Linked DNA regions of Drosophila melanogaster. The protein of the gene in region 2 interacts with the protein of the main gene of each other region in a pairwise test. Each region holds a gene or a part of one and is shown on either strand. Other genes may lie near its edges.

Evidence for each region.
Region 1: the proteins of mRpS17 (region 2) and St4 interact in a two-hybrid assay, tested with the Drosophila melanogaster proteins (one large-scale study listed by BioGRID).
Region 3: the proteins of mRpS17 (region 2) and ACOX1 interact in a two-hybrid assay, tested with the Drosophila melanogaster proteins (one large-scale study listed by BioGRID).

Annotation. Positions count from the first base shown.
Region 1 is NT_033778.4:13,969,349-13,973,102, forward strand, and holds St4 (sulfotransferase 4), read right to left. Parts: upstream 1,916-3,754; 5' UTR 1,780-1,915; coding exon 1,695-1,779; intron 1,628-1,694; coding exon 1,393-1,627; intron 1,338-1,392; coding exon 1,006-1,337; intron 957-1,005; coding exon 568-956; 3' UTR 562-567; downstream 1-561. Other genes in the region: PheRS-m (Phenylalanyl-tRNA synthetase, mitochondrial), read left to right, coding at 1-254, 324-491; CG18568 (uncharacterized protein), read right to left, coding at 2,325-3,329.
Region 2 is NT_033778.4:24,173,104-24,176,534, forward strand, and holds mRpS17 (mitochondrial ribosomal protein S17), read right to left. Parts: upstream 1,339-3,431; 5' UTR 1,265-1,338; coding exon 1,157-1,264; intron 1,093-1,156; coding exon 733-1,092; 3' UTR 562-732; downstream 1-561. Other genes in the region: CG3328 (uncharacterized protein), read left to right, coding at 1-152, 213-293; Nop60B (nucleolar protein at 60B), read left to right, coding at 1,852-1,864, 1,925-2,293, 2,370-2,621, 2,814-3,088, 3,324-3,431.
Region 3 is NT_033778.4:17,759,215-17,762,968, forward strand, and holds the start of ACOX1 (acyl-CoA oxidase 1), read left to right. Parts: upstream 1-1,725; 5' UTR 1,726-2,051; coding exon 2,052-2,175; intron 2,176-2,914; coding exon 2,915-3,074; intron 3,075-3,128; coding exon 3,129-3,421; intron 3,422-3,478; coding exon 3,479-3,754. Other genes in the region: HLH54F, read left to right, coding at 822-1,124. UniProt on the Drosophila melanogaster protein: Catalyzes the desaturation of acyl-CoAs to 2-trans-enoyl-CoAs. First enzyme of the fatty acid beta-oxidation pathway.

The DNA.
Region 1 (3,754 bases), about 10 Mb from region 2:
TGGAGCGACTGGCCATGGTGCTGTTCGATATACCTGACATCCGGCTCTTCTGGTCGAACGACAGTGGCTTTCTGTCGCAGTTTAGCGAAAAGGATCTGCACAATCTGCCCAAGTACAAGCCCATCTCCCACTATCCGCAGTGCACGAATGACTTGTCGTTCTGGCTGCCCCAGGACATTGAGGTGGATGCCGGCTTCTCGCCGAACGACTTTTACGATCTAGTCCGCTCTGTAGCTGGTGATATGGTGGAGCAGGTTGGTCTTAGCTATCCCAAACGTATCATATGTTACGAGTATTTCTCATATACTTTACTTTTCTTACAGATCAGTCTGGTGGACAAGTTTAAGCACCCGAAAACGGGGAAATCGAGCGTGTGCTTCCGCATTGTTTATCGCCATATGGAGCGCACCTTAACCCAGGCGGAGGTCAACGAAATCCACAAGCAGATCGCTAGTGCGAGCGTGGATAGTTTCAATGTGCAAATACGTTAGTCATAGTCTAGTTCCGTTTCAATTCAAAACCAAAAAAGAAAAACACCAGTAAAGATAGCCAACAAAGTCAGGTATTTCATATGGTCTTGAATGATTTAATATTCTGTTCCACCCACTCGTTGGCGCTCTTCAAAAGCTTCGGATTCTCCACGAACTCCTGTTGCGGCTGATACGCTGTCTTGGCTCCGCTGCGCACGAATCCTGCCTCTCCTTTGTTGAGAACGCCAACGGAAGCCATTTCGTGCATGTTTACGGACTTGTTCTCACGGAAGCTTCTGATGCTCAGATGATCGAGTAGCCTATCCATATCCTCGGGTTTCGGTGGACACTCTAAGAAGCTGGCTATGCTGTTGATTGCACCTGGCAGATCAGCCAACATGTCTTCGTAGCGCAGAAAGAGTACATTGGACAAATGGGCATGCTCCCGCGCCTCCTTAACGTGACTGTAATAGGGCAGCCAGGGATCTGAAAGATAGTTGGTTAAGGATGGCAACTCCATCGAAGGATCACTTACTTAATCCGTTTTGGAAATAATGCCAGTAACGCTCAAAATCTCCGACGTATCCTTGGGTGCGGAAGAGTCTGTTCAAATGGTAGTAGGAAACTGCAACATCCTTGGGATCACGAACCACATAGATCACCTTGCACTTCTTTTCGAGAACACTAGGCGGCATTAGAGAAAAGGGGAAATGCGTTTTGATAAACCGTCGCTGCGAGCGTGGTATTTCGCTCAAAGCCTCGTAACCCGGTCGAGCTATCTTCTCAATGAACTCCAGAGCTTCAGCCGAGTCTCGGTTTTCCTCCTGCAGCTCTTCCTTAATTTTGGGATGCACAAAGAGCGGAAATCTAAGGGCGGTTGGAGTTCACTTAATTAAGATAGGATCGCGCGACAAGCACTCACTCAAAGAATGGAAAGCGTTCGGTTAGTGGTCGCTCCTGGGCATGCTCAAAATCCAGCCCATTGGCCACCAGCCAAATGAGCTCCTGCGTCCAAGTGGTGCCCGATCTGGGCACCGTGGCTATCCACACGTCATCCGGCCGTGCCTCAAAGTTGTAGTACCGCTCGGCCTCGTCCTTGTACTTGTGCGGAAAGAAGTAACCCTCCGATCCGACCTGAACGAAGCCAGTTCGCTCACCTGTTTTTTTTTTTTTATTTTTTATATACTAGGTGCATCACAAGCCATTTGCGCGCTATAAACATACCATGGAAGTGATCCAATAGCTCAGCATTGGTGGACTCCTCCACATCGCGAATTTCGTGTGGAAACTTGAGAGGCGTATTTTCCATTGCTCGCGCGATCAGTTGCCAGCGTTGACTGAAGAACCGCCCGTCATGAAAGCGTCTTGACCCCGCTTTCGGCCCAGAGAGAAAGTGTCAGCTGCTGGTGCTGGTGCTGGTGCTGGCCTGGCTAGTATGGCACTCCATTGCCGCTTGGCTAAGCTCAATTTAAATACGACTTCAGTTAATGTCTGTGTACTTGCTGACGCTGAATTTTCCCCAAAAGGTGTGGTTCCAAGCCATTAGTTAGCTCAGACGGCTTTTATTGGATCATAAACAGTGGCGATATAATGTTGTTGGAGTAAAATAAGCCTCAAAGTTATAACCTAAATAACCAGTTCTTAAACGTATATATATATATATTCTTGATTTGTATCGGCAGTTAGTCTCAGTTTTGAAGTCCAAAATTCTTTTTTTTTATAGAACATACCACTCATATATCATAAAACCCAAGCACCCATTAAAAGTCATAAATGACCATTGAATTGAAAAGGACTACTACTTTACGTGCACGACACAGACAATTTGATATAGAATTTCCTATAGTTTTTAGATTATTCGTTTAGCTCGACGTTGTCGAAGAGCCTGAGCAGCTCCTCTTCCTTGCGCTTGATGCGATCCTGGATGGTGGACACGGACTCTGATTTGGGCATAGAGTTTTGGACCCGGCTGAAGAAATCGTCCATGGACTTGAAAACGTTCTGATACTGATTATCATAGCGAGCGTACTGGTGCGTTGGTGGCTTCTTGGGCGCCCTCTTGGTCACGGCATTCCGGAACGAGAACTCCTTCAGTTCGTCCAGATGCAGTTCCTCCTGCTGCTCGTGAGCAGCAAACCTGCGCGATGATTGTCGCTCTCTTTCCTCCTTAAGCTCGAGCCGTTCCCGATCTATTTGATCGACCAGCTGCGCGGAGGGGCATACCATCTTCACCTCGCCAAGGATTAGCTTATGATCGAGGATCTCAGACTCATTCGTCTGGACGCCGGTCTCCAGTAGCTGCTGAGACTTGGACGCCTTCGATTCTGACTCCTCCTCGACATCCGGCAAAATATTGGAATCCTCTGGCACTGGCTGCCTATTCTTGCGGAAATTCGAGTTCAAACCCACGCCCGCCGGTTTGCTGGGCCAGAGACGATCCCGTGCCGCCTGTTTGGCCGCTTGCGACATCACACGCTGTTTCGTTGGCTTCCTGACTTCCGTTTCGGTGTCCTTGGCCAAGGGCACCACTAATCTGGACTTCTCATGTCCTCTCGCTCTCTCGAACTTCTGCTTGGCCGTCTGCCTGTTGCTGCTGGCCCTCAGCGAAGAGGCTACCGTGGGCTGGACCAGCCGAGAAGGTGGATTATGCTTGCCAAGGCGACGACCGGTCTGCTTCCAAGCCGCATCGGTTCCCCCATCGCCCGCTCCGCCGTGAACAGTTCGCCGTGTTCCCGCCGTCTGCGTCGATAGAGGTGCCGCTAACTTGGAACGCACTGTGGCCCCGGAGATGGTGTTGGGTCCTCCACCTCGGGGTGTTGAGCCCGCACTTTGCCCACTGCTCCTACCGGCTGAATGCATTACGTCAATGGGTTATTGGTATCCTGCGTTACTGCGGCAGTTGTATATACTTAAAATTTTTAGTTAGCTTTAATACTTTTATTTTTACAAGTTCAATTGTTTGAAATCGGTAACGAAAAACGAATGTACTAAGCCATAGAGCTTAAGGCCCGACACTGAAGTCGTTATAAAGGCCTACTTGGTATGGAATCATACTTATCTAAACCCTTACTCGAAATGCATTCAAAACCCAAAACCTACCCAAATAAAACCTAAGCCAAATCCAATCCAAATCACAAGACAAAAAAAAATATAAACAGTTGAATTGTAATCCGATAATTTAGAATTTATTATTTAGATAATTTTTTTAAGTATAAAATAGTTTGTCGGGCATATACATATTGTTTTCTACATTGTCAAATTGTTTCAAGTCTTCAGAACCGATG
Region 2 (3,431 bases):
AGCTGAACGAGGATGACGAGGCCGAGTCCACCAGCGGGGTGAAGATCCTCAAGCAGCAGGGCAAGAACAAACTGAGCCTGGCCCTGGATCTTCCCGCCCGCGGCTACTTCCTACGGGAGTTTATGCTCCGCGCCAGCCACGACCTGGAGCAGGTGCGTTATCCGGACGCATTAACGCGAAATCCAGCGACTCTAGCCTCCTTTTCGTTGCAGCAAAAACTGTGCGACGACAACGCTCACCCGGCAAACCCCATACTCCAGTACAACTTTAGGATCGTAAGAGATTGTGATTAGTATTCAGCTTAATTTATGGCACGGACCGAATCTGAACTCTAAAACCATGTGCGTGTGCAGCACGTTTCGGTGTTGCGGATGTGTCCTGGCACCTGGCGCGGAAAAATCGTTTGAATTAGGAAAATTCAAAAATTAAATAATCAAAAACTGTTGATCAGCGAGAGGAAGTTGAAAATGCATACATTTATACGTATACACAACAAATCATCAATAAATGCAAAAAAAAAAAAACAACTATCGACCATTAAAATAAAATATGTAGAGAAATCTTTTAAACCTGCCTTTTTAATTCAATTCAAGCAATCAAAAACCTATAAAAATATCTTCTTTCGTCGGCCTAACCATTTTATAAGAAAACCGAGAAACATATGTACGTCATATTAATGCACTTTACTATTAAACAAAGGGGAAACTTAACAGATAAACGACCGGCAGAGCTCTAAACGGCGAACGGCTGATCCTTGCCATCCTCGTGGTACTTGATGTATGTTTCCCCGTGGGTGAAGTCCTTGGTTCCCTCCAGGCGACCGCGGGGCGGTGCCTTCTCGTAGTCGAAGGCCTTCTCTGACTTGCCGAACAGCTGGTTGGCCATCTCGATGTCCTCGCGGTAATTGCCCACGACCACCTTCTTGCCAGTGAGCGGGTCCGTTATGTCACCCAGCGGATAGACCACTTTTTCCACGTTGTGCGTGATGAGGCGGGTGAGGCGCTCTGGCAGTTCCCGTATCAGGACCACGTCCCCGGTCTTGCACACCTTCTGCGGATCGTGGGCGAAGTAGAACTCGTCCTTCTTAAAGTACTGCGAGCAGAAGGGAAATTGTGTGAAATCTCCTGAGGCGAGATCTAATGTATATTATGCACACCATATTCAGGTTCTTGTCCAGCTCCATTCGGCGAATGCGGATCTTGGAGGCGTTCTGCTTGATGCAGGGCATGCACTGGCCCATTAGTAGGAGTCCTCGCCTCGACATTACTTTAATTTAATTTAAGAGTTTAGAAAAATAAACAACCGGTTGGGAAACACAGCTGGTAGATCACTGGCGATAGTATCGATTGGGCCTGGAACTATCAATATTTCGATATTTTTTACTCAGCAGTTTCTGATTTTCAAAATCCCGCCAAATGCAATCAGCTTGCACGCGTCAGTTAAAAAGTAGGGTAGTATGACTTTTCATCGCAAAAACAAGTGGATTCTAAGGACATAACATTTTCACCGTACTATAAACAGTGTATCAGTTTTACATAACATATCTTTTCAATTAAATAATGCTTTAATGGATTAAAAATGTTTACGTCAAAGTAAATACCTTTAAATTCATTTTGTTTATGAATAATACATATTTTTAATTCAAAATTGTAATAAGGAATTCGGCTCACGATGACATATCGCAAGATTTCCATTTATGTATCGATGTCTTCATGAAATACATTTCTGTGTAGTCACACTTATCGATAGACCGCGCACTCCACGTGTTTTTCGTCCATTTTCTCGCAGCGCGCAACACGTGCGGAGGTTTCTCTCCGTCTATTAGTTGATTTAGCAGAAAACGTAGATAAAATGGCCGACGTGGGTAAGTCTGGCAAGTGATGAATTAAAAGAGTGCCCAAATAAACGGACTATGCGCCCGCAGAAGTACGCAAGGAGAAGAAAAAGAAGAAGATCAAGGAGGAGCCCTTGGACGGCGATGACATTGGCACGCTGCAGAAGCAGGGCAACTTCCAAATCAAGCCCTCCTCCAAGATCGCCGAGCTGGACACCTCGCAATGGCCGCTGCTCCTGAAGAACTTCGACAAGTTGAACATCCGTTCCAACCACTACACTCCGCTGGCGCACGGATCGTCGCCCCTGAACCGCGACATCAAAGAGTACATGAAGACTGGCTTCATCAACCTGGACAAGCCGTCGAACCCCAGCTCCCACGAGGTGGTGGCCTGGATCAAGAAAATCCTCAAGGTGGAGAAGACAGGCCACTCCGGCACGCTGGATCCCAAAGTCACGGGTAAGTGAAGCGCGTGCTCGCCTACCGCCATACAAACCTAACCTCATTGTGTGCCGCGTGTTTTTTTTTCCTACAGGTTGCCTGATTGTTTGTATTGACAGGGCCACCCGTCTGGTGAAGTCCCAGCAGAGCGCCGGCAAGGAGTACGTGGCCATCTTCAAGCTGCACGGAGCCGTGGAGTCGGTGGCCAAGGTGCGTCAGGGCCTGGAGAAGCTGCGTGGTGCCCTCTTCCAGAGACCTCCACTCATCTCCGCCGTAAAGCGTCAGTTGCGCGTTCGTACTGTCTACGACAGCAAGCTGTTGGACTACGATGAAACCCGAAATATGGGTAAGTCAGAAGTTTTGTTTATCCATTCTCGCTCAGAGTTGGTGCGTCGCTGCTGGATTAGTTTATCCTGCAGAGGTGCAGCCTGCTTCAGCCAGTGAAACACCAGTATTTGCCTAACACAGCAAATGCACAATGTAATTGTTAAAACCTCGTCTTTTTCTCTCCTCCAATTCTGCCCACTCACGTGCTCAGGTGTTTTTTGGGTTAGTTGCGAGGCCGGCTCCTACATCCGTACCATGTGCGTCCATCTTGGTCTCGTACTGGGTGTCGGTGGCCAGATGCTGGAGCTCCGCCGTGTCCGCTCGGGCATTCAGTCTGAGCGCGATGGTATGGTGACCATGCACGATGTTTTGGACGCCATGTGGCTGTACGAAAACCACAAGGACGAGTCTATGCTGCGACGTGTGATCAAGCCGCTAGAAGGTCTGCTGGTCAACCACAAGCGCATTATTATGAAGGACAGTTCGGTAAGTTTGACATCCAGTTGCCGTTTGCGAAGTAGTACCCCATGATATTAAGCCGGCAGGTGCCTGCAATCCCCACGGGCACCTGTGACTATGATTGGGAACAGCAAAGCTGCTGATGTGTGTATGTTGGGCAGCGCTCTTATCCTGCGCGCTCGACAAAGAATATTCGGTCGACATTTCCTCTAGCAAAGGACCCCCTTATGATATCAACTAACAACCATCAATCTTTCTCCAGGTCAACGCCGTTTGCTATGGTGCCAAGATTACATTGCCCGGTGTCCTGCGCTACGAGGATGGCATTGAAATCGATCAGGAGATCGTCATTTGCACCACCAAGGGTGAG
Region 3 (3,754 bases), 6.4 Mb from region 2:
TTTCCTGTAATCCGATACTTTTGTGAATTTCGAAAATATTAAATATGAGTGACAGGCTGTTGGTGGAGCGGGCAGGGAACGGAGATGGTAACGCAGACCTGCGGATCTGGATGGGGGGCACTAGTTAGTCTTTGCTTTTATTTTTTATTTTTAAAGATGCTCTTGATGCTTTGAAGCGACACAGTGAATGACATGCGAGGGAAAGTGTCATCCTCAGTAGTTTTCCCACTCGGATTATTGTAATTAAAATTTGTCTAACCGTGTTTATCCATCAGCCATTCCCGCTGGAGTTTACACAATCTATCACTCAAGATTCATGGCGTGCACAACTTATCTAAATAGATGCAATTGTTTACACACCGAATGCGTGAAAAATTCAGCAAATACGGCTCCGTCTTGTGCCCATATGGTGGCAAATCAGATCGGATCGGAGAGTCCCGACCCTATCCGAATTTATACCATCCACGCGCCCAAGATGATCTGTTGGGAACAACCCATTGGTTCGCTATTTGCTCGCTAGCCCTAGCATCCCTATATCCCATTTCCAATCCCTCATTGTATGGCATACAAATGAGTGTCTCTTGTCCGCAAGTGTTTGGCTGTTTATGTTTTTATAGATCCGTTAATGAGGCTGTTATTGTAGATCTAGACGTGGAGGCGGGGGTGGGCACTAAAAACAATCAAAGTTGCGTAAACAAACAATGGCGCTGTCTCGGGATGGGTTGTCGTCATATTGTTCCATATATAGCCCCTGCGGTTTCCACAACTCCTATGATTTATGCCTGTTTTATCCACACATTCCACATTATACTGTCTTGCAGAGCTGGCCCTTTGAGTTCCACCAGAGTAGCCGGAGTTTGGCATTTGCCCCATCATCATCAACCACCTCATCCGCCCGTATGGATTGGCAAACCCTGCATACGCAATCTTATCCGAAGACTACGCGAGGCGAAACCCATGTTTCGGCGGATCTAAGTTACCATCAGTTGCCGGAATCTCACAGTCACTGGTATCCGGCGGAAGTGCATCAAATGGAGCCAGCGGCCAGCTGTTCCTATGACTCTGGAATGGGGCAGCATCAGCGGGGCATAGCTATAGCCACTAGCCATGCCCATGGCATTTAAGCGGATATTATAAATAATGTTCTGACCTAAGCCAAATGAATTTACCACCTAGTAAGTGTATTAAATCGTGATTTAATTTTACGTGTTTCCGTATGTGCAAGCCTGAACCTATGCTATAAGGCCAAAGATTGGTGTTACCTCATGATCATTTAGCTAGCAAATATATCTATGTTTTTAATAAAATTGGAATTTTTGAATTTTTTTGAATTGGCGCCAAGATTATGGTGACTGTATCCCTGGAGTTGTCGAGTGCTGCCGTACTTGTTTGTATTTTGCAGCCCTGTTCAACAGCTGATTTCGTCACAATACAAACAAAGAGCTGCTAAAAACAAAATTAATCTATTAATTAAGGCGGAATTCAAATACCCTACTTTTTTTAAAACGGCTAATTTGAGACATTTTAAAGATGTTATTTATGCAGAAAGATGTAGTGAATTTGCATTATTCACTTGCAAACAAATTATACGAACAAAGAAGCTTATGAAAGCAATCTTATTTAAATTAGAAACAAACTGAAAGAAAACGCCCAAGTACTTTTTACATGCAGTGTATTTATTTTGTGTATTTACTCATAAATGTAGCCCAACAACAATGGCGTGAGAATAATGGTTGTGCTACAGACTATTTCAACACAAAAGCGAACTTATTACATGTGTATTTTCGCGGTTAAAGTTCACGTCGTTCGAGAGCTGGCATCGATGATTAGATTCGGAATAGCTGGATCAGATCAGCAGTCCATAATCTCAATCTCCTCCACTGGATTTCCTCCACCAGCACTTGAGTGACCGACTGACTGACCACTGAGCGCAATTCGCCTTTCCAGCAACAATCAGTCAGTACGCGATATTCAACGAAGACGGACGCTTTGCGGTGGCTCGTTAATCCATAACCTGTTTACGTGACTTGAATACTGTGCCGCATAGCAAAATGCCAGCCAAACCAGTGAATCCCGATCTCCAGAAGGAACGCAGCACGGCCACCTTCAATCCCCGGGAGTTCTCCGTTCTGTGGGCCGGCGGCGAGGAGCGATTCAAGGAGAAGAAGGCCCTGGGTGAGTTAGCTTAGAAGGGAAAAACACCGGATTTCAAGCTTCTCCGGTGACCCCGACAGACCTACATGTACATTCACATTAACCGGTCGCTCAGAGCTTTATCTGAGCTTGGCGCAATCGCGTTTCCCAACAGTGGATGCAAGAAATTGTGCCAAAAGCATGACTTGGCAATTAAGCTAGGCTTTAACGCATTTATAGCTAATCTGTAGGGTACAAACTCTGATGCTAGCCATGTCAGCCACTGATAAATTATCCAAAACATCCTGTCAACTTCTTTGTTTTGATACGCTTCTTCTCCGTCCATTCATTCATGCGATTTGTTGATTTTGCTGCACGCCGTGGCCCAAAGTTCATTAATTATGTATTCCGCATAAACAAGCCGCTACTAGTTAATCAGCACCTATTAGCCAGCTCATAAGTTATTAATCTTTGAACTTCGCGCGAATCGCGATCAATCCGACTACTTGTGTACTTTGAATGTTTGCAGCTACCCACCATCTATTTCCAGGTCCACTTGAAATTAGTTTAGCTGATAGGTTTATCTGACAGATTTGCACGGTCGCTCAGGGCATCATAAATGGACAATGCCCAGTAACTCCCGCGAATTAACGAAGAATACTTTCCACTCATGATTACGCTGCAAAATTCAACAATGCTTATCTAAATGACACCTCCTAAAATATTAAATCCCTTTCCTTATGGCTTCATTTACATTAAATTTCGTTTATGATTTTTCCAGAGAAATTGTTTTTGGAGGATCCAGCCCTTCAGGACGACTTGCCCATTTCCTATTTGTCACACAAGGAGCTCTATGAGCACAGCTTGCGCAAAGCCTGCATCATAGGAGAGAAGATCCGCAAGCTACGTGCTGATGGCGAGGATGGAGTGGATACTTACAAGTAAAGAAATCCTTATATTTAATGTACTTCAGGTTGTAATTTGTGTGCTTATAGTGCTCTGCTTGGTGGATCCTTGGGATCGGCTATTCTAAAGGAGGGCAATCCGCTTGCGCTGCACTACGTGATGTTCGTGCCCACCATCATGGGCCAGGGAACGATGGATCAGCAGGTGGAATGGCTGAGCAAGGCCTGGGACTGTGAAATCATTGGCACCTATGCCCAAACGGAACTGGGACACGGAACCTTCCTGCGCGGTCTGGAGACCAGGGCTGACTACGATGCCAGCACCCAGGAGTTTGTTATAAACACTCCATCACTCAGTGCATACAAGTGGTGGCCCGGTGGATGTGAGTTTTCTTGAACACTTAATATTTTGAAATTGTTATAAAATCTGGGACTTGCAGTGGGACACACTGCTAACCATGCGGTTGTGGTGGCACAACTCTACACCAAGGGCGAGTTCCGTGGTCTGGCTCCTTTTATTGTCCAATTGAGGGATTCCGATACTCACCGTCCCATGCCCGGCATCGACATTGGAGATATTGGTACCAAGCTGGGCATGAAGGGTGTCAACAATGGCTATTTGGGACTGAAGAACGTACGGGTGCCTTTAAACAACATGCTGATGAAGAACCAGCAAGTGCTGCCCGATGGCACATATGTGGCGCCGAAGAATAGCG